3 linked regions of the Ovis aries genome follow. The protein of the gene in region 3 purifies or fractionates together with the protein of the main gene of each other region. This does not show direct contact. Links are inferred from orthologs where the notes say so. Each region holds a gene or a part of one and is shown on either strand. Other genes may lie near its edges.

Region 1 (9,991 bases), on a different chromosome or scaffold from region 3:
ACCATGAGTTCAATGTTGATGGATCAATGATATATATTCAAGATGTCTTTAAACAGAAACGCATGTGAAACAAGGTTATGTATTTATCAGTTGACAAAAATGTGACCAGATGTTTGCAGGAACCTAACTGTATTTCCACTCAGAACAGTGGTTCAGTATTTGCTGATTTGTTCTTCACAGCAACTTTATAGACCGTGACTGCTACAAATAGTAAAATTTACTGTCTGTATTTGTATATGCTTGGGAAAAGACTGGCAGAAAATAGAATGACATGTATCAATAGCTATGAATGACTACTCTTATCATTAGTTTCAATTTTTCTATATTGAGTCCTTACTACTTCTGTAATCTGATGGTATATATATATATTACATATTCATTTTGAAAACTAAAATTCCCTTTGAGTAAACATAATTTATCACCCAGATATTATCCTTCAAAATTTCCATAAACAGTGTTGGAAATTTGAGGTTTGCTTGAGTTGCCTGAAAGAGAGATGAGAGACTTGGATAATTTGCGAAATCTTTCATTCATAATGTGTCAGAGCTGATAGAACCATCGCTACTTCCCAGTAACCATATGCTCTTGGTCTGCATGGTCTGTATCCAGTGGGTCATTTTCTTTCTCTCTCTTTCTCCCTGGCGTTCAGTTAAGGAAAGGCCAACGTGCCTATTCAGTGGTCTCCTAGTTTCTAGGCTTACTTTAGCAGTTTTCTTTCTGTTTTGACTTGATGTTAAATCCTGTAAAAGAGTTACAATTGTAACTGAATTACAGTTAATCGTACTTTAGTTACAGCTTTATTTTCGTGATTTCGAGCTATACTGTTTCCTTGAATGATTACAGATTTGGGAACCTGCCACCTTACATGAGCAGCTCTTCCCTAGCCATCTAATTCGTGCCCATTTTTGGCAGGTATCTCAGATGGTTGCTTCACTCTCTCTATAGTTTTCAGTAGACTCTGTCCGGTTGATAACGTGCTCTGTTATCCCTTTTGGGGGTGAATAGAACCTTGCTATTTCTGTCATTTTTCTTCCAGTCTTTTAAATGGCTCATTTTTCTTTTAGGAAAAAAGAAGTTCTTTTCAAGCCTGAAGTAAAGTTATTTGCTTCTGTTGACAGACAATGTAGAACTGATACTGAAAACAATTAGTAACCAGCACAGTGTTGAGAGTCAGGACAATGACCAGCCAGACTACGACAGTGTGGCGTCAGACGAAGACACGGATCCGGAAGCCACTGCAAGCAAGGCCCACAGGCAAAAGGTAAGGTGGTGCATTGCACACAGAAAGTGAGCTTATGTTCTTTTTCAGATCTTTCCTCCTAAAAATTTGCCTGATTTGTAAAGCATTCGAGGGCTAGGCCTGGGAAAAGTGCTCTGGAGGTAAAATTGGGTTTTCTACTAGTTTGGCCCAAGCAAAGGTCAACAAGGTAAATATTTTAAAGTTTTAAAATAGGGGGTCCCTTGCCCCTGAGTCAGTTGCTGACTCACAGCCCGGCTGCAGTATTAACTTTATAAAACCTATGAGGAGGGACGGGTGGGTTTTACTCTTTCAACAAATGTTTACTTTTGTTGGGTATTACCCAAACTTCTCTGGATAATACTCTCCTGAATGAGGGCTGGTCTCTTTCCTCTGTGAGGCCGTCCTCACCAAGAGGAGAGGGAACCGCGGTTCGAGGGTCATAAGTGCAGACAGGAGCGGAGGGGTGGGAGCAGGCGATCCACAGACACAGCCTGTCACTGACAGGGAGTGTCAGGGGAGGCTGAGAAGGCCCGGGACGTGGGCACGTGGAAAGGCAGGGAGGGGTCAGACTGAGCGGAGGTGAGACAGGCATCTGGGGGACGTCTGGTCACGTGGAGAGGCAGCCTGAAAGGAGAGGGAGTCTGAGCTGCGGCAGAGGGCGGGGATCACACCGTGCAGGAGCGTGACCCCAGACTGAAGAGCTGAGACCTTGGCTGGCAGCGCAGAGCCCAGGAAGCTTTTAGGCAGGGCGGGAACACCATGTCCACCTTGTTGGGTCCTCTGTTTGGGGAGGACCGTTCTGGTGGGTCAGGAGCGGAGGAGAGGAACCCAGGCAGGGAGGTGCCGACAAGGTCCAAACAAGAGCTGACGCAGGCTCACCTCAGGGCCTCTTCAGCTGGGAGGGTCTGGATGGAAAACAAAAGTCACCGTTGCAGAGAGTGAGCCCGAGGCCAGGGCAGCAGGGGCCTGGCTGGCCTGCCTACCGCTGAATATCCCTGACCTGGCCCACAGGGGGCTCAGCAAACACTTGAGAATGGGCAAACAGGAAGACAGAAAAGGCAGGGCTTGGGGACAAGTTAGACATTGGAAGTGGGAAGGTAGATTTACCCGAGTTGTGTCCGGAGTTTTCCAGCTTACACAGCTGTGCGGGTCAGTGGTGCCACCGGCAGATGCAGGGAACATGGAGGGGATGGCAAGAGTCAGCTGTCCCATCTGAAACATCTCCGCCAGTCTCCCCGGAAGTGCTGAGTTCAGTCGAGTGAAGGCGGGTCTTGACTGGACCCTGCACGACAGGGTCCCTGCACTGGCTAGCCTCCCCCTCCTCTGGGCCTTGCACACCCACGCCCTCTAGCTGAGTCCTACCACAGGCTGGAGCGCTGTCCTCCAGACAGCCACCTGACTAGTGACCTCCCCTCCTGCAGGCTGTTGCTCATGTCCCCCCACCCAGCTGTCTAGTTAAAATGCACCCACGTCCACCTCTCTTTCAGCTCCCCAGCCCCTCACTCCTCCTCTGTTCTGTTTATTTTCCATAGCACTTATCACATTCCCCTATACTATGTAGTTATTTATTATTATTTTTCTCCCTCTCTCACTCAGTTGGGATGTAAACACCATGGAAGCAGGAATCTTTTTCTATTTTCTTTTCTTATGTAACCTAAGCCCCTAGAACACTGCCTGATGCTTAGTAAAAATCTGTCAGAATGAGTGAAATAATGAATCAAAAAAGAAAAATGAATGAACAAGAGAAAGGCAGATGAGACAGGTGTTCAGAGTCACTGTTAGAGTAGATTTGTGGCCCCACTCTCTGATCGCCAGAAAATACTGACTTGAAAATTTTTCATCTGTTGTAGGAGCCCTACCTTTCTGTTTTATTTTTGTATTCCTCTCAGAAGCCTTGATTTGGTTTGATTAACTTTGCGATCCAGCTGGCACAGTCAGAATTTTAAATTCTTGAGCTGTTAGTCTTGAATGTTATCATCGTCTCAGATTGTGAACGTTTTCCCCAATTTATTTTTAGAGCCTAGATTCAGATTTATCAGATGGACCAGTCACTGTGCAGGAATTTTTGGAGGTCAAAAACGCTCTAGTGGCTTCTGAGGCCAAGATACAACAGCTAATGAAGGTGAATAACAACTTGAGTGACGAGCTGAGAATTATGCAGAAAAAGGTAACATGTCAATAAATGCCAGGATGGTTGCTCTTTAACCCCATAGTATATAAGGAAGAATCCCAGGCATGATGCTTGTGATCAGAGGGAAGAAAAACAGACCTGAAAATCTTTGGGCCAAGCTGTCTCTTTGGAAGCAGTATGAATTATGGATATTTTCAACGAAGTAGCTTTGATTAGATATAAATCCAGTTTAAGTTGCCCAGGTAGGAGAACATCATAACCTATTAAGTAAGTATTCATATCAGTTTTAGAGACCCTTGCAAGCGTCCTGTGTTTCCTGGGAAGCTAGACACAGCTCCAGGGGTGTGATTCTTACTGTTTATTGCTCATTCTAATCACCCCGTGAGACAGAGCAGACCAAAGCCCGGGACAGGGTGTGTGTCTACCAGCATTTCAGAGCGCCCCCATACCACACATGGCTGCTCTCCCTGCTCACTCTTATGTGTTGTTACCCACCCCGCCCTGGCAGCCCTGTCGCACAGTCCCACTCCACTGTTGGCCAGTTCCTACTGCTCATTTATGATGTCCTCAGAGTCACAGAATAGATACTCAATATAAGAAAACCTTTCATGCACACAAGCGAGAACTGTATGCTGGTAAGAGACAATCCCATTTGCTCAGCATTTGCTTGTTTGCCACCTTTTGAGAGAGTCAGAAATACGTGAACATACTGATCTCTAAAAAGCGTGTGGCTAATGGTAGCAAAGAATATGTTGAAGAGAGGATTATGTATGTCATTCTTTATAAGAATGCTAAGAAGAGGAGGTAGAAAAACTCTGACTTCTGCCCTAGACTTTGTCGGCCCTGCTCCCACCATTCAGTGCTCTACAAAACGAGATGCACACATGCTTCCCTTAACCAGAAACAAAACAAAGTATGTATCTGTGTCTTCCTGCTATCACTTGAAGAATAACGCTTCAGAATCGTTACCACCACCAGAGGACATGGCGCACCTTGTTTGTGGCCGGGCCCTTTTCAGCGGTGCTTCCTGAAGGAAGGCTGAAGAACTAAGGGGCCCACGCGCCTCTGCTTGTCAGGAAAGGACACGGCAGTGCACCCTCACCTAGGGCTTGGTCCAGGATTCTTTTTGAGTCTAGATCATTTTTTGGAGACATTTTGAGATAGATGGCTTCAACACCTGTAATAGAAAGGGATAAGAATACCTGAAGATCAATCAGATTTTAATCAGACATTTGTTCTCTGCCACCCTGGCCCTGTCTAATGCTGGTGTGCAGCCATGAATGAGACAGACCAAGTGCCCTTTTGCCATAATGTACAGGGCTTGCACTTCTCTCTTCTCTGAAATTTCTTTTATTTAATGAATTATAGTTTATCTCATTAGTTGAACTAATAGATGGGTTTGGGGTGACTTTTTCTGAAACAAGCTGACTTTGCCACTGCAAATCAGTCTGCTAAGCATTACCATTTTTATTCCGTTATGCTCCTTTTAGTATTTGTAGAAATCACCAGAGATAACCTTGAATCTCTGAAAGCAAATGTCTCGAGCTTGTTTAAGAAATGTTGAGTGGAATTACTTGTCATCATTGATGGATTATCTCCTTGATTCTTAGAAAATGCTCTCGATTTCTGAAACTATTATCTGTAACTTTTCATTTCCTGTTGTACTCCTTCCAAACAGAAAAAGTATAGCCTGGTTCTTATTAAGATAAGCATCATTCAGGTTTATCCAAGGACATCTCGGTAAATTCAGAGTACTAAAACTTTTTAAAGTTGAGACCAGCTGAGATCTCGCACATTGAGGTGAGATCCAGACTGGATGTTCTACAGTGAAAAGTGTGAAGATGAAGTTTCAGATTTCAAGACCTTGTCTAAAATCCTCTAGGAGGTTTCCACATAGATAAGCACTTGACGAGATCCCCCCATCCTTCACTGAGGGCCGTGTGTCAGTCATGTTCCTCACTTTTTGGCCCTCGACCATTTCACTTTAGAACATGGGTTCCCTAGGAAGTAGTTTTGACAGGCACTTTATGCCTGTCTGTCTCCTGGAATGTAGGACTTTTCAGTAGATGCTTATTACTTTGCAGCTGTTTGCAGATACAAGTTATGGCCTGAAGCATAGGTGTAGAAGCATCCTCTCATTTCTCAGGGGTCATGCTTTGAGAAAATAGAAAACAAGGGTATTTCTGTGGCAAAGACAGTAAGTCAGACTTTCACAGGCGTTTGGCACTACTGGTATAAAGTATGTGGAACTTGTTTATTCAGTGAAGAAACGTTGATTTTATTTCAAAGTCAGGTAAAGTTTTTTAATATAGTAGTCAACAAAGTAGCATGATTTGTGTCTGATCTTTCACATTTAACAGTTGCTTGGAAAAGATGCTAATTAATGAAGAGGAGCAGCCACTATTGGTGTATTTGTCACAGAGCGGTGCTTTCTAAAATAGAAATTGAAAGTAACTCCTAACACTGAATGGGTTGGCTATTGGAAAAAATGATCTTCTGGTGCAGACACAGTTGCTTGTGGACTTAAGCCTTGGCCCTGGTGGGGAATTTGGTCAGATTTTTACTCTCTCTCAAGGAGTAGACAGCTGAACTCACACCACACCCAGCTTATAAAATGCTCTGGAGGATGGAGGAGCACCAGAGGGGAAGGACGTTGTACAGCCTGGACTCAGTTACTTGTGTGTAACATGCCAGATGGCTAAAGAGGAGCCCGATTCCTTGCTGATCCCTGTAACTCTAATTCATCCAGCACCATGAAGCAGCCTGCATGTGAGCAATGGGAAGAGCGTTCAGGGCCTCCAAGTGCCAGCCTCTAACTAAAACAGGGTGGTGCCAGGCAGCTTAGCATGTTTAAAGCTGACACCACCACGGTCACATTTCTGGGCGACAGAGCCAAAGGAGAGCGAGGCCAGGTCTTCCGGCCCCGGCTGAAAGATGACTGATCACCAGAGGGCGGCGCGCGCCAGTGGAGCGTTCAGATGAAGATGTTGATAGTTCAGTAGGCCTCCGGTTCTCTTCGTGATATGTTTATAGAGCAAACTTACCATGATCCGGTTCCCTCCCTTTAAGAAAAACAAAACAAAACAAAACTCAGTTGTTTGGAATTTCAAAGAATATATTATATAATAAAAACTTGTTGATCTTAATTTTTCCTGTTGGCTTTTTGGGCAGCAATAGCTCATCTGATTTTTTTTTTTTTTTTCGTAAACTGGATTTCACTGTCTTTCTCGCTTTGCAAAGCAACTCTAAGTTATCTTTGTGCTGCTTCCATGGTGTCTGCTGACATTTTTGGCATTTCTAAATTGCTCAGGGCACATCTGAAAAGCAGGTTACTTAAATGATGTCTTAATGATCTCAAGCTCTTGCTTGAAACAGCCTTAGAACCAGCCAGGGCACAGCCTGCCTGCAGACAAATTTCAGGGCCACCGTGACCAGTCTTTAAGCTGTGAGAAATTTTGCTTTAAAAAAGTCCAAACTGCAACTTTTCCACAGTCAGAAATGATTTCATTTGCTTAACTGATTAAGTGAGTTGACTGCATTTCACTCATTCTAGAAGAAAGAGTTTGTCTTTGTGGTTGCCTTTGACTTTCAGCTCAGCAAGCTGTTACTGTTCTTATTGTTAAAGCTGGTAGTTGTACGCGTTTACTTGGTGTTTGCTTTTTCTGCTTGCTATAGAAAAACACAGTCCCACTGCCAAACATGTCTTTCAGCTTCAAACACTCCAGAGTGAAAATTCGAACCTCAGGAAACAGGCCACAACCAATATATATCAGGTGCAAACTGGTTCTGAATACACAGACACTTCCAACCACTCCTCCTTAAAGCGACGTCCGTCTGCCCGGGGCAGTAGGCCCATGTCCATGTACGAGACGGGATCAGGTCAGAAACCCTATCTCCCAGTGGGAGAAGTGAACCATCCCGAAGAAAGCAGGACGAGACTCCAGCCATTCCCGGCGCACGTAAGTAATACCACCAGTGCTTCCGCTCTTTACTCTGTCCAGCCTGACCCCTGCCTTCCCTCTTCTCAGCTTGCAGATCCCCAGTCTCCGCTTTGCCAAATGGGGCTATGAGAACCGTCCTTGTGTTTGCTGTATTAACATGTCGACCAGTGCTTGTGGTGTTCCCACAAGCACTCCACAAGCACTCAGGGCCCATGGCCGAAGGTGTCCCAGCAGCTCTGGGGATTCTGGCTCTTGCTCGGCCCCCTCTCCCCCTTTTTCTGCCCCGTATCCATAGTATATTTCCCGAGAGGCCACTGTTGGAACTTTTTTGGTCATGAACTTCCTTCCCCATATCCAAAACCAAAACTTTATAAAGGTTACCACGGGAAGAAAGTACCGTCTTCTTCCAGGTAGGCGGGTGTGTGCCCACTTATGCACCAGAGCCCTTAGAATTCAGAGTGCCTTCTCCACTCTTCTGAGTGGAGCAGGTGGCGTCTGTGGCCTGGGGGTGCAGGCCTGGTCGGGAAGCCTGTGGGCCTCAGCAGCCCTGCACCTGTGGTCAGTCTGCTGGCTTAGCTGCTGCCTCCTCTTCCTCCCTTGTTGGGAGAAAGTGTTGCTTTTTCATTTCATGAGAACGAGATGTAAAAACTCCTATATCAACTTTACCTGCTTTATGTTCCAGAGATGGTATTCTGTAACAGGCTGCTAACACTCTTGTTTTTCCCATGGAATAAGTATTGTGTTGCGAGGTTTTCAAATTATATATCTTTTGGATTAATTTATTTTAAAAACCTATGTTTTGACAAAATGTTTTCTGCATTTTGAACCTACGTGATTTTATTTTTTCGGAGAGTAATACTTACCTTTTGGAATGTCAGTTGTTCTTCAGTCCACTTTTATAGGAATTTCCAAAAAAAGTTCTCAGGGTCAATAGTAAAGAACATGGCCTGGGAAATTATACCCTATTCAATTTTGTCAAGGTTTAGTGTGATAAAATTACAGTGTTGTTATTTTTTAATTGGGAATCTGCTGCTTCAGCTTTTAAAGTTGTTTGGGCTAAACATTCTAAAACAATTGATTCAACACATTTGGTGTAATGGGAATGCCATTGAACTAAGTTAAGAATCTTATTTTTGTATAACTGAGAACAAAATTTAGGAAAAGCCACTTTGTTCATTTTCACAGTGTACTTTTTGATTTTAAAAACATTTAAAATGTAAAAATGTCTTATTATTTTAAAAGTTCTATATCTGTACTGTATCTGATATACATAAACCAACTTTAAATCATTTGTATAGATTTTCATTTCATATCATCTGTCCTGATTAAAAAAACGAGTATTTGTTTAAGACTATTAAAAAAAAAAAACCATTGGCACTGTTGACAGATTATGCTAGGTATTGTCTTTTCCCTCATAGAAAAGTAGCCTTACAGATTCTGAGTAATTTCCGAGAGGCATTTATTTCACTGAGGGATTAAACATCTCTGGGGATCTCATTGGCTAGCGTGGGCGTTTCAGCACTGATCCCATGTAGTGAGTTGCTCCTTAGGTGTCTTTTAACTGGGAACCCAGGCGAAGCCAGGGTGGGTGGCAGGGTTTCATGTTTGTTTTGTGTTTTCCCGAGTGTGTCTCTTTTTCCCCTTCCAGATCGGGAGGAGTGCGTTTGTGACCTCCTCTTCATCTCTGCCTTCCTTCCCCTCCACACTGTCCTGGTCGAGGGACGAGAGCACCCGAAGGGTTAAGTACACTGAATGGTCTGCTCTCTGGAGGAGGGGCCTTGCTCCTGGGCGCTTGGTGCTTCTCCTGGCCGTCCTGGCCCTCCCTCCTCCACTAACCACCCTTCTGTCCTGCATGAGGCCTCGCACGCACACCCGCACGCATGTCTGCAGGAGAGGGCCTCCCTCTCAGCTAACTCCACATAGCTCAGTCTCATGTGACGTTTAACACGGTCCGCAATTCGCCCTGTAACATTGATTCTGAGCGTTCTGTCTATTTAAACAATCAGAAAATTAGCTGGCTGCTGGTTAAACATAATATGGCAAATCTGTCCAATTTTGTTCAAAGTGTTATTAGGACTAACAGAAACACTGAGACACCGTGTTTCTTGTTTTGTTTTGTTTTGTTTTTAACGTCTTGACATGTGTTATGTCAGCCCCTGACTTGACAGACCCAGGTTTTGCAGTCCCTGCATTCCACATCCAGATTGGAGGTGTAGGCAGCTGTTAGTACAAAGCTGTTCACTCTTAGTTGGTCAAGTCCAACTTGCCAGTGTATAATTTACATTCCCAGTAACAGCGTGTGATTCAGGTAAGCTTCCTTTAGAGTAGCCAGGCAGCAAGTATTTATCAAGCACCTTGTCCACACCCTGCCTTTCACAAAGTCAGTTAAAGAGTCCTAGGAAGTTAGGTGACACTCCTACTCTCAAAGGCACTGTCAGTTTAAAAAATGCCTTGATGCATGAAGAGTACATGACAGCAAGCTGGGAAAGAGCACAGGCTTTGAAAACCTGCATTCAGGTCCTGGCTCTCGCGTCTTTTACTGGAAGGGTGGTGTCCCTAAAATGAGAGGAGGGAGGGAGGCTGTGGGTGAGGGACCACCTTGACAGACCAGGGGAGATTTGCACCAGGCCTTTGTCTATTCCCTCCGCTTTTGGCTGGAACTATGGAGAGTCTTCTTTC
Region 2 (10,472 bases), on a different chromosome or scaffold from region 3:
TCTACTCTTTCAATAAATTCTGTACACTTGACTAACAAGTTTGGTTCCTCATTATATAGGTCTTTGAGTATCTTGGGAATGTTATTAGCCAATTTATTTACATACTTTCGTAAGTAGTAAAAGAAAAACCTTACCATCACCTAAGTAAGTGTTACAAAAACATTTGATAAAACTCAGAAGACAATTCTTTTTTATAAAGAAGAAAATAAATAACAAGGAATTTTAATCTAAAACCAATAGCTGTAGTCATCCTTAATTGTAAAAATACCAGAGACATTCCAAGACAATCTTGGAGATTCTAATCAATGTAATAAAGAGCTAAAATAAAAATAAATACTGTAACTATTGGAAATAAAGCAACTGCTACTACTGCTGCTAAGTCACTTCAGTCGTGTCCAACTCTGTGTGACCCCAGAGACCGCAGCCCACCAGGCTCCCCCGTCCCTGGGACTCTCCAGGCAAGAGGAAATAAAGCAAAAATTATTATTATTTTTAGGTAAGACAAGGAACCTGGAAAACAAAAGTAAATAAAATTTTACTGAAATCCAGAAAGATAATAAAAACAATCGTGAACACAAAAATCTAGTTATTTCTACAGGTACAAACTACTGGGTGTAAGATAGGCTCAAGGATGTTTCATGCAACACACAGAATGTAGCGAATGTTTTATAAGAACTGTGAATGGAAACGAACTTTTAAAATAGTGTAAGAAATTTTTTAAAGAGAACTTACTGAAAAAAGAAAATCTAGTTACTTTTGTATATTTATCAGAAATAATAAACTAAACCAAATCCACAAAAACAAAACTGTAATTTAAACAAGAAATGCATATCAAACTAATTTATTTGCCTAGCAATACACAAATTTAAGCATATTTAATAATTTCATTAAGAATGATGGTTGTTTCAAGGACAACAGCAACAAAATGAGATTCACAAAGCTAGTGATAACACACATCAAACATTTCTGAAGCGTAACTTAATAGTTTTAAATGTTTATATGCTTTTATTCAGTAATTCCATTTCTAAGAAAATACTCTAAATAATCAGGGAAAAATAAAAAGATATTCACTATAGAATTATTTGTATAAAACACTGGAATAAATTACACATTGGCCAATAGGAAAATAGTGAAACTAAGGCATAGCTGTACAATAGAACATTAGGCAAACATTAAAAAAATCATTTAAAAAAATAATTTTTAAGGAGAACAGAAGGAAACTGTCAAGATTTAATGTTAAGTTAAAAAAAAATGAAGATAGCAAATTCCACAAAATATGATTCCAAAATTTCAGAAAAGTAAATTATGTACAATTACAAAATATAAAGAAATATCAAAATACTGTATTAACTGCAGTCATTCACAGGCAATATTTGTTGTTTTTTTTTTTAAACTTTATTCTTTTCAAATATTTAATAGGGAAGGTGAAAAAGTTCAGAAAGAATTTACAATAGATAATCTATCAAACACCTGGCTATATTTTTACTATTATATTTGCCAATGTAACTTTTTATTCTTTAATAACCTGATCTTTAGAGAAACTGAAATTGTGTCTAAAAGTTTTACTCCAACTCTTGTTGTTCATGTGGTTATTATGTAACATTTTTGCTTTATAAACCAAATCTCAAAATTAAAAAGCATAGGAATTAATTTTGGGGCACACCATGTGGCTTTTGAGATCTCAGTTCCCCAACCAGGGGAAACACAAAGGAAACACAGAGTCTTGACCACTGGATTGCCAGGGAATCTGAGACTAGGAATTAATTTTTTGAAAGCTGAGATTATACCTTAAAATGTACCTACGAAATAGGGATTAAAATAAAACCTCTATTTTCCCAGAACTTACTAAATATTTACATGAAAAAATATTATCTACAAGATAATAGTGTGATCAGAAACATGTTAGGAAGAACTCAGTAATGTAGGTTAAAAGAGCCCTGAACGCTTATGCATATAGGTACTGCGCTAAGTCGCTTCAGTCGTCTCCGACTCTGTACAACCCTATATGGACTGCAGCCTGCCAGGCTCCTGGGTCCATGGGATTCTCCAGGCAAGAATACCGGAGTGGGTTTCTGTGCGACCCCATGTGGACTGCAGCCCGCCAGGCTCCTCTGTCCATAGGATTCTCCAGGCAAGAATACTAGAGTGGGTTTCTGCGTGACCCAATATGGATGGCAACCCGCCAGGCTCCTCTGACCATGGGATTCTCCAGGGAAGAATACGGGAGTGGGTTGTTGTGCCCTCCTCCAGGGTATCTTCCCAACCCAGGGATCCACCAGAGTCTGTTACCTCTAATCTGAACTGGAGGTGGGTTCTCTACCATTAGCGCCACATGGGAAGCCCGTATGTATATATGTGTTTCAATTTTAACCAAAACTAGAGTTCTTTGCATCTCCTTTTTGATTAGTTTCAATTGACAAAAATTGAGATATAACTCTCCTTTCCAAATGAATAACTCATCCTTTCAGCATACTCCAAAGAAAGATTATGGATCAATGTGTTAAGAAAACATATAAAAGCAATAAGAATATCTAAATCATACCAGAAATCAGGGAAGACTCCCAAAGAAAGCTATACTCAAAAGCTAAAATTTGAAGGCTGAGGATGAATTAGGTAGATGCCAAGAACTAGGAGCCAAAAGAGGGCATTTCCCCCTCCTTTTCAGATGTGATGCTTACAATAAAACTATTAAAATATTCCTCTCTGAATCCTTATCATGTGACAAATTTTTACACCAACCTCAAAGTCCTGAAATATTTTCATACCTATATTTTATTTCAGTAGCCAAACTCTTACCCTACTTTGCACCAAAAAAATAATCTGAAGTATTAAGATTCAAATACAATTATTAAAGTACCAAAAGAAAATATAGAAGATTGTTTTTTGATAAAGGTAAAATGGAAAAGATACTCTTAAAGCATTAATATCTACTATATGTAAAGAGCTTCTGCAATTCAATAAAGAAGTACAGATTAGTATAACCTTTTAGGAAGGCAGTTTGGCATCTATTAAAACTTAAAATGCACACTTAAGAATTCTTTCTATGGAAATACTTCTATACATATGCATGTGCACAAAGATATAAGTTCACTAAAGCTCACTTTTAGTTGCCCAAAAATAACCATAAAGAATTAAGTAAAGTACAAGAAAAGAATAGAATATTGCATGACTATTAAAAACATGAGGTATAACAAGTACTGAGATGGAAAAGAATTTATAACAATTAGATTTTTTTATTAAAAATAAAATTAAGGTAAGATTACACACACACTGTGTTTATTTTTAATTGCATAAAGAAAACAAAATTGCTAACAGTGGGTACCTGTAAGAAATGCGACTAGAAAGTAAGGAAAGTAATTTTCACTTTTTACGCTAAATAACTGACTTGCTTGAATCTTTTGTGATAAGCATGAAGTGACTGCCTTTGAAATTTAATTTTAAAATAAAGGGGAAAAACTCACTATTCTAATCTGTTATAATTATGGTTATCTCTGAGGGCTAAAGTGATTTTTGTATAGTAATTTTTGTCCTGTTTCTTAATAGTTTACTTTCTAAATTTTCTATGAGAAATATGACTATTTTAAAATCTGAGAAATATGTATTAAAAAAACTTATATTTGATTTCATTGATGAAACTTTTTCCCTGAAAAGTAATTTTTTTAACAGTTATGATCTCAAAAACATGGTCCTGAGATTCCAACCACTTTAGAAAGCAGTCTTAAATCTAAGTTTCTAAGTATAACATTTGTTGCAGAAGCAACTAAATATAAAACACAGTTTAGAACAGAATATCAATTAACATTTATTAATCATGTAAGCACAGCATTTGCTAAGTAATTTTCCCTGTATTTCTCATTTGCTCCAAATAGCCTTATGAAATTTGTATTATACTGTTATTATTATTAATCCTCATCTTATAGATTGAAAAAATCAACTCTGAAAAGAATACGTATCTTGTCCAGAGTCAAGTCCAAGAGCTAGGATTCAAACCCAGGTCTCCAGCTCCTAACCACTTTTGATACCTGGAATGACATGAAATGTGGCCTGCATATTTGGACTAACTATTCTTACTCAGGTTAGTGATCCTAAAATGAAGAAGTGGTGACACTCAATTCTTATCACAGAAGAAAATAGTATTTTTTAAGGCAACAGGGGCTATTTTTTTTCTTTATTCTATTTTCTTTTTTTTTTGCATCTTTCTGCTTCTACCAAGGTACAAGAGGTACAAGAAGGATACAAAGGACAACTCAGATTTGCGAGTAACTTAACACCCTCCTTGATTAGTCTGGAATTAGTCCTGTAACTAACTGCAAGAGCGTTTAAAAACAAATTGATCAGAATGCCAAAGTCTTTAGACTTGAAAACAAGGTGCAGTTTCACATTTTAATCAAAAGTAGAAAATTCAGAAAGCCAAAAGAAATGTTATATTCAAATACTAGAATAATCAATATAGACAGATTAAACATAGGAAGAATTTAACAATATCTACCTATTTTATCCCAAGCTATTCCAACAAGATCTCTCTCTTTTAAAAAAGAATAGAGAATTCCCTGCTGGTCGAAGGGTAAAGAATCCACCTGCCAAGGCAGGGGACACAGGTTCCATCCCTGGTCCAGAAAGATTCCACATGCCTCAGGGTAACTATAAGCAGGCGAGCCACAATTACTGAAGCCCCCCATGCTCAACAGAGAAGCCATCCCAATAAGAAGTCTGCGTACCACCTGAACTAGAGAGTAGCCCCCATCACTGAACTAGAGAAAGCCCAACTGCAGCAATGAAGACCCAGCACAGCCAAAAAAAAAAAAAAAAAAAAAAGAATAACTGAATGTTTATCCAGCTACCTGAACAAGTTCCAAGTTTTCTCTTAAAAAAAAAATTATAATTGAAAAGATACATACACCACTGCTAACCATGTCTGCTTGGAAATCTGCCCATCAAAAAGACTAGAGAATCATAGGAACTTCTATTCATTTGTTCAGTAGACAGACTACAATTACAGACTTTATGAATTTGGGTTTGCCAGGTTAGCATTTAATGTCAAAAGTCCAGAAGAATAATTCTGAATAATTGTAAACTGGAAATAGGGCCCTAAGAGAAGCAGAATACGCAGAACTCTTCCTCAGTAGAAGTATCTGCTTATAGAAAGCACTGGCAGAGAAGCTGACATCAACACATCCACTTGCACACTCCAACATTTCTAGACCTAACCCCTTAGGCCAAGACGACCTCTCAATGAATTAAGGACAAACGACGCTACCAAAATGACAGTCCTGAAAACACACTGAATTTAGGTCAACCTCTTTCACCAAAGCCTGAAAGTGGGTTTAAGTCCTACATATGTTACAGGTCAGAAACATTTTAAGGTTCATTTTTCATAATGGAAGTCTGTGTTTCTGGCTAATTAAAACAAGAAAAGATTTTAAAACTAAGGACTTAAGAGTTGCCTTAAATCAATACCCTTAAGAGGAGAACATGAACAAACGTTTCACTTAGATATATATTTTTTCATAGATACATACAAAATATATAGAAGGGATTATGAGTGTGATTTACAAAAGCCACAGAGCTCCTGGAAAAGTTGACAAGTTCTAACCTGCTTTAAAAATTACCATTCACTGTCTTCATCCCAATCTTAACTTTATTTAATGTTATTCTTTTGAATAACCGTACAACAACAAAACCCCCAGAGCAAATTCTTCTACATTTCAATATCCTGCCTACTTGCAAGAGCGGAAGAGTCAAACAGAGCAGGGGAAAAAACGTGACGTGAACAACCTTGATCCAAAACACAGCTCGTGGGAGTCTAATTTTAGGCCTAACCATTTTGATTGTCTTTTTACAGAGGTTGAAAAAGAAAACAAAAAAACACAGATCACTTGTAAAATAAATCTGAGATAACTAAACCAATAGGAGTTGGCATTATTTATCAAGGAGGAAAGAAATCACGTTCGCACTGCCCAGAGTATTCCCATTAAAGATAAGATACAGGGCCGGTAGTACAACCCCACAACTGACGACAACGGCAATTGCTTTCCACTCTTCAGCTCTTGGATGACTCTATCTTTAAAGAATGAGTCAAAAGGTTGAGCCCACTGAGGAATACTCGACAACGTTTTGTGTGTATGTATTGTTTTAAAGAAAGCTAAACATGGTGAAAGCCAACCTTCAGCTAAGTTACCTAAAGAAGCAAATATTCACCTCCCGGCGGAGGATCAAAAGGAATCACGAGAAGACCCGAAAGTTCTGTTTTTAAACGGAGGCTCTCAAACCCTCGGAAAACTATTCGTTTTCTACTGATGCGGAATATGGAAGAGATCACAGATTGCAGTTTAGGAAAGAATGAAGCGGCTTTAGACAATGTGCCTCGGTAAAGAAACTGGGATGACCAGAGAGATAAGGAGGAGCTGGGACTCTGTAAGGGACGAAAAAAATCAAGGACTAAAACCCGAAACGTTTCGTCGAACAGTAAAGTAAATGAAGAAAAGGCGGCTGAAACGCGAGGGAAGGGAGATCAGCAGAAGGCAGAGACGGTGGCCTGCCACCGTCACGGTTCAGGGCAGGGCCGGGTCCAGGAAGAGTTAGATCTCACCAGCCCAGCAAGCTTCCCATTTCAGGCTAGAGCCGGAGAAGAAAACAGCCCGAGGGCGCAGACAATGAGCCACCGCCCCAAGAGTTGCGGCTCCAGGCACGCAGGTGGCGGCTTCCCGGGCCCGCGCGGGGCAGGTCAGCTGCCCCGGGCCGCTCACGCCGGCCAGGCCGCGTAGAAGCGAGGAGGAATGAGAACGACGGCCCGCGTCCCGGCCTGTCTGCACACTTACCCTAGGCGAGGAAAGGTCCCCGCCCCAGCGAGGAGCCTCCGGCCGAGCTCCCGGCGGGCTTCGGAGCCGCCCCGAGCAAGCGCGCGACGCGGGGCGGGGAGGGGAGGGAAGGGGGAAGCGGGGCGGGAAGAGGGGCCGCGCTGGAGCGCAGCCGCTTCTACCGCTAGGCCAGGCGGCAGCCGAGCCCCGCGGGCGCCGGGAGGGGAGGGCAGGGAGCCTTCGGCAATGGCGACGGCCCAGGCCAAAGGGGAAGCGGAACAACCACTGCCGCTGCGCGTGGCCACAACCCTAGGGGAGGGCGACGGCGGGGAGCGGAGAGGGGTGGGACCCAAGCCGGAGCTCCACTGGGCGGAGACCGGCACCACCTCCCAGTGGGAGTTCACGCGGGGCCTGTCGGGAGTTGTAGTTTGGAGATGTGTTCCACGTCTCTCTCCCACGTTCTTTTTTGGGGGGTTATTCTCTATATTGAGAGAGCATTGTCTCCAGTCAGGTGTGCCAACCAAAGACGCTGAAAGACGATTTTTGTTACATGAACCTGCTCCAGGACATCTGTTTCTGAGAATTCATCCACTATCCATTTTGCTTTTTGCCTGTAACTCAATGTATTTTGGTGCTAATTAAGGCCCACCTCCTTGCAAATCAAGGCCTCTATGTTTTATTCACAGAGGAGTTCCGCAATGTTTTCATTCTGTTCAGTTCAGTCGCTCAGTGATGTCTGACACTTTGCAACCCCATGGACTACAGCATGCCAGGCTTCCCTGTCCATCACCAACTCCCGGAGCTTGCTCAAATTCATGTGCATAAAGCTGGTGATGCTGTCCAACCATATCATCCTCTGTCATCCCCTTCTCCTCCTGCCTTCAACCTTTCTCAGCATCAGGGTCTTTTCCAATGAGTCAGTTCTTTGCATCAGGTGGCCAAAGTATTGGGAGTTTCAGCTTCAGCATCACACTTTCCAATGAGTATTCAGGACTGATTTCCTTTGGGATTGACTGGTTTGATCTCCTTGCAATCCAAGGGACTCTCAAGAGTCATCTCTAACACCACAGTTCAAAAGCATCAATTCTTTGGCGCTCAGCTTTCTTTATGGCCCAACTCTCACATCAATACATGACTACTGGAAAAACCATAGCTTTGACTAGATGCCTCAATGTATTCACTCAGTGTCTAATATGTACCAGTCACTCCTGGGTATCAGGGATACAAGAGTGAACATGAGTCACTTTGTCTTTGTGGAACTTCCAAATATAAAAACACAATAATTAAAATAGAATCTGGTATGAGGAAAAAAACTAGGATGATTACTTTGGATAAGGTGGCCAGTGAAAACATCTTTAAGGAGGTGACGTTTAAGAAATGAAAGAGAGAGCCATGAGAAGCTTTCAGGAGCATTACAAGCAGAGGAAGGAAAACAAGAACTCACTAAGGTCAGTTAAAAAGGCCTGTGTAACTGCAGTTTAGTGCAAGAGGAGTAGCGTAGTATGGCAAAACACTAGAGAAGACAAGATTCAGGTCAGGAAGGATATTAAATGACATAGTAATGAGGCTGGACTTTATTCCAAGAAGTTATTAAATAGTTGTAAGCAGGGAAGTGATGTTACCTGGTTTATACTAGACTGCTACATGGAGAATGGAGTTTTGAGATGCAAGAAGACAAAGGAATGAATTAGGGAGGCATTAATCATGACTAGTGCTAGAGTAATAGCAATGGAAATAGATAGAGAAAGCCAAATTGTTCTTGCTGAGACAAAGAGCAAAACAGCTTAATTGATATGAAGAATATGAGAAAAGGGATTCAAGGAGCAATAGGGCACAATATTAGATAACTTGAAAAACATCCCCACTATTAAATATACAAAATGCTGGATAAAATAGAACATCCTTTCAAAGGCATAAGCTCAACCCAATTCAGTTCAGTTCAGTCGCTCAGTTGTGTCTGACTCTTTGCAACCCCATGAACCACAGCACGCCAGGCCTCCCTGCCCATCACCAACTCTCGGAGTCCACCCAGACCCATGTCCATTGAGTTGGTGAGGCCATCCAACCATCTTATCCTCTGTCGTCCCCTTCTCCTCCTGCCCGTAATCCCTCCCAGCATCAGGGTCTATTCCAATGAGTCAGCTCTTTGCATCAGGTGGCCAAAGTACTGGGGTTTCAGCTTTAGCATCAGTCCTTCCAATGAACACCCAGGACTGATCTCCTTTAGGATGTACTGGCTGGATCTCCTTGCAGAACAAGGGACTCTCAAGAGTCTTCTCCAACACCGCAGTTCAAAAGCATCAATTCTTCAGTGCTCAGCATTCTTTATAGCCCTACTCTCACATCCATACATGACCACTGGAAAAACCATAGCCTTGACTAGATGGACCTTAGTTGGCAAAGTAATGTCTCTGCTTTTGAATATGCTATCTAGGTTGGTCATAACTTTTCTTCCAAGGAGTAAGCGTCTTTTAATTTCATGGCTGCAGTCACCATCTGCAGTGATTTTGGAGCCTAGAAAAATAAAGTCTGACACTGTTTCCACTGTTTCCCCATCTATTTGCCATGAAGTGATGGGACCGGATGCCATGATCTGTTTTCTGAATGTTGAGCTTTAAGCCAACTTTTTCACTCTCCTCTTTCACTTTCAAGAGGCCCTTTAGTTCTTCTTCCCTTTCTGCCATAAGGGTGGTGTCATCTGCATATCTGAGGTTATTGATATTCCTCCCAGCAATCTTGATTCCAGCTTGTGCTTCTTCCAGCCCAGCGTTTCTCATGATGTACTCTGCATATAAGTTAAATAAGCAAGTGACAATATACAGGCTTGACGTACTCCATTTCCTATTTGGAACCAGTCTGTTGTTCCATGTCCAGTTCTAACTGTTGCTTCCTGACCTGCATACAGGTTTCTCAAGAGGCAGGTCAGGTGGTCAGGTATTCCCATCTCTTCAGAATTTTCCATAGTTTATTGTGATCCACACAGTCAATAAGGCAGAAATAGATGCTTTTCTGGAACTCTCTTGCTTTTTCAATGATCCAGTGGATGTTGGCAATTTGATCTCTGTGCTCTGTGACAACTTAGAGGGGTGGCATGGGGTGGAAGATGGGAGCAGGGTTCAGGAGGGAGGGAACATGTATATACCTGTGGCTGATTGATGTTTATATGTGGCAGAAGTCAACACAATATTATAAAGCAATCATCCTCCAGTTAAAACAAAGAGAGAGGAATACCTCTGATGGGCTTCCAAACTTCACATTCAACCCAAAGGAGGAGCAAGAAACCAAAGTAGTAACCAAGTCGATGAAGCCTGTTGTGTTGTGTTGTGTTGTGTTGTGTTGTATTGTTGTGTTGAAAAAACCTACTTACCTCAAATCTCTATGGTTTTCTTGGATGCCCAGGAGACAAGAGACCAAAGACAAGGCTATGAGCCTGTAGAAAGATTTGGGACTATAATCTTGCACAAGGCTGGAAAATTCAGAGGACTATACCCTCTGAGAATAGACTAGGAGAAAAAAATCCCCTGTACCAACCCAGGCCAAAATGTGGATATATTTTAACCTGGATTTTGGCATCAAGGGGAAAAAGCTTTCCCTTTAGAATTCATAACCACAAATTTTCACTCACATAGGTCTGAAAGTTCAAATTTATAGTATCTACACTGTCCAGGAAACCTC
Region 3 (9,991 bases):
GTATATACACACACACACATATATATACACACATATCTATATGTCTGTGTGTGTATATATATACTTATACATATATATTGTTTTACTAATCCACAGGAAAAAGAATACCCCCCCATCCTGAACATGAAAAAAGAAGCAGAAACAATTCACAAGAGTCACAGAAGAATGTTCGTCGTCACCAAGAAAAGAAGTCAAAATTAAAACTAGGGATGGCGTTTTCACATATTGCCTGAGAAAATCAGAAACCACGATTCTCCGTGTGGATGCAGGTATCAGAAAGAACTTCCTGCACCCACACGCGGGAGGCAGAGAAGACAGGAGCAGCCCCTGAAAGGCCATTTGACCCTATTTACAAGCGCTTCCCTGACCCACAGATTCCCACCAGAGTTAATCCGGAAATTGACAGAGTGTAGCCCAGAGTGTGCAGGCATGGCTCCAGAGCTTGGCCTGAGCTGGGGCCCCTCCAGACTGGCCTCACCTGCACCAGGGGGCCACCTGGCGGAGGACGGCGCCTGCGGAGCAACAGTGTCTGACGCTGCTGGTGCCGGGCAGCCCTCACACCCCGCGTGCTTCATACAGCTGTATGGTTAATTTCTGCTATTGTTCTAAATTTTTATATATTTTCTAGAATACTCAATATATACTTTTAAAGGCTCAACTAATTTTTTTTAAATGGTTAGAATGAAGGACTGAGCCACTTATAAGCCGTACCAAAAATGTTTGGACAGCATCTCATGATATCAAGATAAGCACACGCAAAGCAGGCCAGGTGCTCCCTCCTAAGAGTCAGCATTACACAGAGGGCTTAGGAGCCACCGAGAAACTGACCTACATGCCACCAACTGGACCAGTCGTGTAACAGGTTTCTGTGAGAACAATGTTTAACTCCCTGCAGGATCCACTGGGAGTCAGTGTCCACAGCGGGGGCACGCTCACAGGGGATGCTGCCAGCGCAGCTGATGCGGCCGGCACTGAGGGGGCTGCACTGCCCCACTCGGACGTCCTCAAGAGCAGACCGGAGGCTGGGCACTGGCTCCCCTCTGCGGTTCTGGAAAGCCCCGTCCCCACCCTCAAGGCCCCGCCTCCTCACCCTTGAGACCGCGCCTCCCCACCCGAGGCCCCGCCTCCCACCCCGCCTCCACCAAGAGCCAGGTGTGTCCTCCCAGGCACTCACTTTTTCTCAGAGCGAACTCCTCGTCCGAGGGCTTCCTCTCTGGCTTGCGCTTGGGCAGCAGCTTCTTCATGGTCTTGGGACTCTTGCTCAGGTCCTGGGGAAGGAGAGGAAAAGGCTGGCAGACCCCAGATCTGGTGGGCAGGCACGGCCGCTGTGGAGGGGGAAGCCGGGACACTCCAGCGCCCGCCCCGCACACGCTGACCGCGCTCTGCCAGCTGCGGAGCGCTGACATCCTGAGGCACAGGCTGTGACGGTCCTCCTCCACCTGGACCCGCCGGCGCCGGGACCACCGGGACCACTCCCTGGGAGGTGCGGCAGCCGGCAGTGCGGAGAAGAGAGGGCAGCGGGCTGACGCCTGTGCAGGGAACCACGTGCGCTGCCCACTCTAGGGCAGACCCCCCTGCTGCAGCCAACCATTAAGACAGGAGGACACTGTCGATTTCTAAATGAAACGTGAGGGAAACAGGGAGAAGGAAAGGGAACAGAATCAGCCCACGGGCAGCACACTGGCGCCCCCTCCGCTGGCAGAGCTATGTTCACAGCCCAGAGACTGTCCCTCCGTCCACAGCACATCTGTACGCTCAGCCGGGCAGAAGAGGAGCAGCAAAAGCAGCCCACGCGGCCGGCAAGGTTCTGACTGTCAAGCACGTACTGAACCCCAGTGTCAGGGAGGCTAACTTCGGCATCACTGAGTCACATTCACCGCCGCTGAACTTCACGAGGCCAGTCCAAGGCTGAGAATGGGACTCAGGCCATGGGAGGGATCAGGCTGACAAGCACCGAAAGAACAGCCTGCGTTCCAAAGGTGTCTCTCCAAAATCTGTGAAAGTGAAAACTTCCAGAGCGCTTGGAAACGCAGCAGATCAGCAGTCCCGAAGAAGTGAAGCAGCAGGCGTCCTGAGGCACAGGGGCGGAGGGACGCCCGGGAGCAGCGCCCGCAGGCGGCGCAGAGCGCCGGCCTTGCCCCAGGACGCCTGCTCCGTGACCAGGCGGCCTGTGTGCCCAGCACACTGGACATGTCCACGGCCACACCCGCCAAGCCTCTCTCTCCTGTACCCTACTCCCCCCTCCCCTGTAAGAACCCGCAGCAGGGCGTGGCTGCACTCCACCACACTGAGCTAAGCAGCGAGGATGCCAAAATGGGCCACCAGGAAGAAACATGTCCTAAGAACCGAAGTTCACTAACAAAACCCATACAGGATTAACTGTAATTTATGTTGTACTCCCCCATGTACCATAAAATTCCTCCAGCAAGGATGGAGGCAGGGTCTGCCCAGGTCCTTCGTCAAATGTGGCCTCTCTGAGATGCAAACTGGTGCAAAAGCGCCTCACCAGGCTCACGAACAGGCCCCGCCCACCAGGCTCATTGTCCCGCCCACCAAGCTCATTGTCCCACCCACCATGCTCACAGCCTCACCCACATCCCACCCAGCCCACCGCCCGAGCCACACCCCCCACACTCATAGCCACAACCACACCAGAGCAACTGAACTCGGCTCACACTCAAGCACGCTCGTGTGATCACCACAGTCGTCAACCGGCTTCCTCAAAGCGCAAACAGTGCCCCGAGCCTGTCCCTCTCCCTGTTATGGGCACAGAGGGGGTCTCCCCAGGACTCTGGGGCTCTGGAGCACAGGAAGGGTAACAAGGGAGAGAAGGCAGAGCCTTCCATTCTGAAGAGGCTCATCGGCTCCATGTCACAGACACAAACACAGGGCTGTCACATTTCCACACTCACTAGGGCTCACCTCCTTGTAGCAGAGGGCAGCCGAGGGCCGCAGAGGGGGTGCTGGTCGCAGGCAGCTCAGGCTCCAGGGCTTAGGGGTCTTCGGAGGCTCCAGGGGCCCCCAGTTGATGGTGGTGTGTGGAGTGCCATGGTGGGAGGGGTGGGGCAGCGTGTGGTAGGCGGGCGTCAGCGGCGCGGGCTTGCTGTCCGCGTGCTTGCTGGACGGGGTGATGGAGTGGGAGGGGAGCTGCCAGGGACAGAGGGAGAGAGCAGAGCGCGTTCACCGCCAGAGGACCCGAGGCCAGCCCAGCCCTCCCAGCACAGCAGCGCCCACTTGCTAGCGTGCATCCTGAATGTCCCGACGCTCAGGTTACTGGCCGTCAGGCCGAGCATCCCCCACACCCTGCGTGAGGCCTGCTGAGCTCAGGGCGGGAAGCAGCAGGTTGCTGGGTCCAGACCCGGAAACCCACTGACCGCCTTTAACTGCGAAGCAGTCACGTTTGCAAAAAAGGCATTTCATTTAACACAGATATCAGGATTTTATAAAAGAATGGGCATTCTCTGCCCTGGGAATGTGACTGGGGGAGCATAATTATTACCTCGCCAGCAAAAGTAGAGCCTGATCCCTGTTTTTGTTAAAAAAAAATTTTTTTTCCTGGGACACAATCAGGCCTATTCGTGTCAATGGTTGCTTTTATATTATAAAAGCAAAATACAATTGCAACAGAGACCATAGTGCTTAAAAACCAAAAAAAAATATTTACTGTGTTTTTGAAGAAAAATTTTACCAATCCCTTGGGTAAAACATTTTCTCAGAAAAATCAGCTTTAATCAAGACCAGGTTACATAAATTTAATTTCTCAGAAGGACCTTATTAATGGGGTTTATGCTCCTAGAAACTCCAAAAGTATTCGATCACAATGACAAATTAGAACTTTAAACAATTCAAAAGTAGCCAGTGACCTCGAATTAACCCAAAACAATACAGTATGCTTAACAGGAAAAAAAGTTGAGTTGTTCTGTGAGCTGGAAACCAGAGTAAGGTCATTATTCAGAAGAAATGAATAATATTTGAAACACAGGCTTAAAGGGGAGCCTGGGCTCAAGCTGAGGCTTAGGGCTCGAGGACAGAAGCAGCGGACTCTGCCATGACCACACAGCTGCCCTGGGACCAGAAAGGCCAGGGTCCTGGCACATGGCTCCCTGAGGTGGGAGTCTGTAGAGGTTGGTTTAAGGCTGTTACCACCTGAGTGAGAAGGGACTCCCTGTGGATGACACACATGTACACACCGATGCCCTTGGGATAAATTTAGTCCCATGAAAGCTAAGTATCTCTAGAATACATTTACAATATGGAAAAGCTGTCATGGCAAAACCATTCAAAATGATAGTTGAAGCAAATGAATAGCTTTTCCCCCAAACTGCTGAGAAATGGAGTAAGAGGCTGCAGCAGTGACCAGTACACCATGCCATGACCACCGTCCCTGGGACGGCCCTTCAAGCCCAAGGGCAGCGACCCCAGGGTGAACCATGTGGGAGAAGTCCCAGGAGAGACCCTCACAAGCCCTGAGGTAGTGTTCGCGGCCCACCCTGGGCAGGGCAGCTGCCTAAGCGGGTGCCGACGGGCGCCTAACCGGTGAACTATGTGCGTGTGTGTGTGTGTGAACTCTCGAGAGGCAGACAGGCAGGCCTGGCTCACAAGTGGGTCCCCGTGAGGCGATCGCGGCCCACGGGGGATGAGGACGCGTCTGCAGAGAGGCCCGAGGCCCAGCGGCGCTCTCCTGGCCCGGGGTCTGCGGGCGGGGGCGGGGCGGGGCCCTTACGGTGTGCGAGGGCACCGAGTGAGGCTTGCTGCTGGGGTTTCCTGCCGAGGCGGCCTTCGTCTGCTTCTGCAGGCGGTCCACCCACTCGTGGAGGTCCTGCTGGTTGTTGCAGGACACCAAGATCCGCTCGATCATGCTGCCTGGAGGAGACAGGCACGGGCTGGAGGGCGTCAGAGCGCACACATGTGCACCCCAAGGAGGCCCCACAGCACGCCCATGCAGCCCTCGGGGGCTCAGCGGGGCCCGCACACGAGGGCCATGGCCTCGGCACCCGGACAGAGGGCACCCACAGAGCCCGCGCCTATCACCTGATATTTCAAACGCGTTCCTGTGATTTTCACTGTCCTCAAGCTTTGTGACTGTCATTCCTGTCGTTGGTAGCTTTCCCTAAAAAAGACCCCCCAACAAAAACAGTCAGTGCTTTTCTAGTAAAGGAGGTACCATTATTAAAGTAAATATTAAACAATTTTAGACAATGCAGAGGAACTGTCTTTGTAAAGCAAACTCTCTTGCTTGTACCAAAGGCATATATAATACAAAAGCCTCTACCTTGAGTAAGAAATTGTAATACTATAACCAAGAAATGAGCCAGCAAAAAGGTACAGGGCTGCAAACCAGAACAAAAACATTTCATCTGATGAGTTACTCTAAATATAAACAGCAAGACACAAAAACATCATACGTGTGATAAAAAAAAAACAACAACGAGGGTCCACGGTGGCTATTTTAAATGATGCTGTTTATAGAAAGGAAGCAGAGATGTGCCTTAGAGAAACACGGGGCGAGTTCCGCATCCAAAGGCAAATACAGGCGACTGGAGCCGGAGGGACTGTGCGAGACTGCGCCTGGCCATCCGCCACCAGACTGTCCGTCAGCAGCTGCGCCAAGCACTGCCCACAACACAGAGAAGAGCACCAGCCCGCCTGCTCTGGGACAGAGGGCGTGAGGCAGGGAGCGGAACCAGAACTGGGCCGTGGAGCGAGCCCCTCGAATAATAGCCACCAGAGCTGTGGAGGCCGAGCGAGTCTGCAGGGAGCGTCTCTCGGGTCAGGGCCAGGGCCCCGAGGAGCAGGGCCCTGAGCAGCAGGGCGGCTCTGAGGCCACAAGGCTCGGACTCCTGACACCCGGGCAGAGGCCAGGCGCCGAGAGCACCACACGGGCCCGGCCACCTCCGCAGCCCCACAGGCCTCATCCGGTCCACGGGCAGTGGGGCCCGCGCGCAGGAGCCTGTCCTGCAGCCGGGCATGGGCACTGCAGACGCCCTGCCGAGGGGCCCACGGCACTGGGCTGACCAAGAGCTCGGAGAAGCCTGACGGGAAACACAGCTGCGTGTCCCCGACTAACCTGCAGCAACAGCTGCGGAGGCCGGGACGAGCTCGCGGTGGCCGGATGTGGGGCGAAGCCGGAAGTGAACACTGACCCGCGAGCACTGGGGGTCTCAGCACTCAGAGAGAAGCCCCCGAGACAGCACGCCCGGGGGAAGCAGGGCCCGGTGGCGGCACGCTGACGCCAGCACCCTGGGGCCTGAGGCCGCTCCGGACGCCCCTGCAGCCCCACAGGTCACCGCAGGGCCCTGGGCCTTGGGGTGGGGGGAGCTTCGAAGCCAGGGTACATGGCCGAGAAGGACAGAGCTCACTTAGAGCAGCAGCGGCCAGCTTGGGGAGGTGCTCAACCGCAGGCTTACAGATTGGGAGGCGGTCCTTTCCTGGGCTGGCCCGTGTCAATCTGCTTTCTCATGCCTAAAGCGCTCCTTTCGGAACAAGTGCGTGATGTCAACTCCTCTCTGGGCTGTTAAGCTTTCGGAGCAGGTACAAGCCTGCCGTGAACGCTCTGGACTCAGGACCCAGCAGAGCGCTTGTTGGGGATAAGACAAATAGCGTGCCACCCGTGCAAAAATGCAACTCTGAGCAAACCCAGGGTGATTTCTGTGGGAATGGTTCCTGGTGACCAGGCCTTGAGGAATTGATGGAAGGGCTGCAGCTTCAATAACCACACAGGAACAAAGCAGTCAACTTTGCCAGAAGCCCCTACTAGACACACAGAAAACCTAAGGCACTTATCAGCTTCCCTGGAGGCTCAGACGGTCAAGAGGCCGCCGGCACCGCGGGAGACCTGGGCTCATCCCCGGGTTGGGCAGGTCCCTGGAGGAGGGCAGGGCAGCACCTCACGTGACAGACAGAAACGGAAGGGCTCTGCCCTTGCATCTCTTCTTAAAGCAGCCTCACATCCTCGCGGAGAAAATCAGGAAAGTGACGAGCAATAAAGAAGCTAAATAACACGCCAGGCGTGTGCCCGTGACTGCTGAGTCCAGTGGGGGCCCACAGACCACCTCAGCCACACGTGCCCCCCCAAGCCGGCCCGTGGAGCAGCCGCCTGCCCTGGTGGCAGGAAAGCGGCAGAGCGCCCTGGAGGCGGCCAGCTGGCCAGCGCCCCAGCACTCTGGGTCCTCAGGGTCAGCTGCACAGAGGCCAGGCCCCTTCTCCGCTTGCTCCGGATGAGCAGGAAGATCCTAGCTTCACAGTCACGTCAGCACACACACACTGGGGCTGTGCGCACAGATGCGAATATGACACTGTACGTACAACACTGTACCCAGCACACGACAGACACACGCAGCATCAACACGAAAACTCCAAAGGAGCCTGAAAACGGCGCTCAGGCCCACAATAAACAAATCTAAATTTAAAATGTGTTTACCTGATATATGAAGCCACTCATCCTAGGACTGGCAGACAACATTAGCAAAATATTCGGAAAGAGTAGAAGATATCTTTCATTCTTTTCCTAATGTAAAAGAACAAATTCAAGTAACTATATTAAAAACACATATTTACACATTCACAATGGTGAGAACAAATATTCACGTTCGGCCTTATGAAAGAGCATATCACACTTCATGTCTAGGTGTTTCTTTCTACCAAATTTAAATTAAACGGGAACAAAATTATGAGAAATTCGTTAAGACTCACAAGTACCCATGGAACACCTTTTTTAAAAATCTGAGTTTAGCTCTGCCATTAACTCCTCATTAGGCAGGAGTTAGAAAAACAGATTTTTTCTGTGGTTGAGAGAAAATAGAAGAAAAGAACTTGTGACCTTTCAGTGGCAGAGGGAGACCAGGCAGACCCTTCAGGTTGAAGGCAGGGAGGGTAGAGGCGGGAGACTGCCTCTGGTCCGCGGCGGATCCTGGCACTAACCAACCTGGAGCCCAACACGCCTGCTGCTGCCACCCCCCGTGAGCTCTGCCCAATTTACACGGAAAGCTGACGAGCACTGCTTATGTATTAAACCTCATTTGCCGCGACCGGTTAAGAAGAGCCCCAGAAAGACCACAGGTGAAGCCCAAAGATGCCCAGGAATCTAAAAGGCGACTCATGGGAGAGACACCACCCACAGCAGTGAAGGGACTCAGGGGAGCCGTGGCCCCGGCAGGGGAAGCCAGCCAGGCGCAGGGGCCCTGGAGAGAGGTTTCCCCACGGTAAAAGAAGTGCAGGGAACGCTGAAGGCAGTACCTCGCTGCCAGCACACTGGATCAGGACCTGGGACATGTAGACAACGCTGCCCAGGGTCTTGATGTCGTCACCCTCCCAGCTGCGGATGGCCTCCGTCAGGATCTGCAGCTCCAGCTCCTTCCTCTTCCGCACCTCCTGACACTGGGCCTGGGGGGGCACAGGAGGCGCGTCAGGGGAGACAGGCTCTACTGCTGCGGCCCCGGCTGCTTCTGCAGACAGACACTAGTGAACAACTCGCTCATTCATGAGTACAGAATCAAGTCAAGAGAGACCTGCAACAACACAACAGCTCTAGAATGAGAAATACTAGCTGAGAAAAATATAGCAAATCCTGTCACTTTTAGAAGATGGAATGTGGACTGGACAAGAAAACCATCCTCTGATTTTACTAGTGAGCGCCCGAAGAGGAGACCTGGAAGAGGGGAAAAGGGTGAGTTCCGCCCGTGCTATAAGTAAGGCACGCACTCCAGAGACTCAGGTACTGAGACAGCACAACAGCAGGTAAGGGAGAAGCCCAGCACTCCTTTCACGCGCCAGTCAAGATGCTGAGATGAGACTGCAGACATGGTCCAGATCACTGACGTGTGCGGCAGCATTACGCAGCGCCGTGTAAGCGCAGACACTGATCCTTTCACCTCTCTGGTGTCCACAGTGCCGTAACATAGGAAAGTTTACCAGCCGTGGAATAACTACATTATTTATTTTTTATTTCTCCAGAATAAATCCAAATTATAGTTCACAACTAATTTCCTGTATTCATTTGCCACAATAATGTCTGAAGGAAAAAAACCGTAACACGCTCTATCACTTACTGAAAGGTTTTTGAAGGCGGTCATGGATTTCTGAATATCTTGTCTGTCTGGGTGATAATCCTTTGAATAAAAGAAACACACTGTGAGCTTCCATAATGAGCACTTGCCCTTCAGCAGGCTCTCTCTGGAGGCTGGCTTGGGCCTGCCCCTCTGTCTCGGCGCTGAAGCACCTCTGCTTAGCCTCTGAGGGGACCGTGGAGCGGTGAACAGTCTTCTGGACTCTTCCCTGGAGGAGGAGGCCAGCCCAGCCTCGCCCACCACCGCCCACCCCCACCACCGCTGCTCAGCACCAAAGGGCAGAGGAGAGCGACGCAGCGGCAGAGGGCCTGCCCCTGGGGAGTGGCTCACCACAGCCTAACTAAGCCAGCAGCCTGAGCCCCAACCCCTGCCGGGCCCACAGCCTGAGTTCTGAAAAGGAGATAAGTGCACACCATCCGCTGACTCTCTTCCTATTATCTCTCCATAACTCATACACTTAACACTGTAGGCACAGGCTCCTGATGGGACCCCTCCACACCACGGACATTTTCCAGCTACTGGAACTCTCCCCGCCAGCAGAGGTTGGAGCAGACGCCTCTCTACAGAGCTGGGACATGAGGAAACAACTTCACAACCAACAAGTCCCTGAGGAGCTCTCCCGCGCTGCAGGCCAGTGGTAATCGCGGCTCCGGGGCCGGCTCCTGACCGCCCTTCCTGGTGCGGCTAGTGGGGCAGACGCACCTCCATGTGTCTCTCCAGCTCCTTGAGCAGCGCGGGGTACTTGTCCAGGCGCATGAACGGCTTGCTGAGACCGGTGGTCAGCACGAGAATCCCCGGGCTGCTGGCGCCCTTCAGCTCCATGAACTCTCCCAGCTCCTCGCTGAGTGTGAGCAGAGAGAGCAGAGGGCACCGTCAGAGCCCAGGAGGCCAGGAGGGCCGCGTGCCGGACCCCAGCCCCTAGGATG

What was found.
Region 1: the proteins of ARHGEF7 (region 3) and GIT2 purify together in Homo sapiens (affinity purification with mass spectrometry; 6 studies listed by BioGRID and IntAct, counting the BioPlex papers as one, with this or other methods). This does not show direct contact. The link is inferred for Ovis aries from reciprocal best matches to the Homo sapiens genes ARHGEF7 and GIT2.
Region 2: the proteins of ARHGEF7 (region 3) and PAK2 purify together in Homo sapiens (co-immunoprecipitation; 5 studies listed by BioGRID and IntAct, with this or other methods). This does not show direct contact. The link is inferred for Ovis aries from reciprocal best matches to the Homo sapiens genes ARHGEF7 and PAK2.

The regions. Positions count from the first base shown.
Region 1 is NC_056070.1:63,468,056-63,478,046, forward strand, and holds part of GIT2 (ARF GTPase-activating protein GIT2), read left to right. Parts: intron 1-1,118; coding exon 1,119-1,261; intron 1,262-3,257; coding exon 3,258-3,407; intron 3,408-5,731; coding exon of another isoform or gene 5,732-5,755; exon of another isoform or gene 5,756-6,517; intron 6,518-7,081; coding exon 7,082-7,330; intron 7,331-8,960; coding exon 8,961-9,050; intron 9,051-9,991. UniProt on the Homo sapiens protein: GTPase-activating protein for ADP ribosylation factor family members, including ARF1.
Region 2 is NC_056054.1:192,068,116-192,078,587, reverse strand, and holds the start of PAK2 (serine/threonine-protein kinase PAK 2), read right to left. Parts: upstream 7,125-10,472; 5' UTR 6,819-7,124; intron 1-6,818. UniProt on the Homo sapiens protein: Serine/threonine protein kinase that plays a role in a variety of different signaling pathways including cytoskeleton regulation, cell motility, cell cycle progression, apoptosis or proliferation.
Region 3 is NC_056063.1:84,870,801-84,880,791, reverse strand, and holds part of ARHGEF7 (rho guanine nucleotide exchange factor 7), read right to left. Parts: intron 9,907-9,991; coding exon 9,768-9,906; intron 9,108-9,767; coding exon 9,048-9,107; intron 8,383-9,047; coding exon 8,236-8,382; intron 7,508-8,235; coding exon 7,421-7,507; intron 5,111-7,420; coding exon 5,032-5,110; intron 4,864-5,031; coding exon 4,724-4,863; intron 3,148-4,723; coding exon 2,923-3,147; intron 1,269-2,922; coding exon 1,175-1,268; intron 1-1,174. UniProt on the Homo sapiens protein: Acts as a RAC1 guanine nucleotide exchange factor (GEF) and can induce membrane ruffling. Functions in cell migration, attachment and cell spreading. Promotes targeting of RAC1 to focal adhesions. May function as a positive regulator of apoptosis.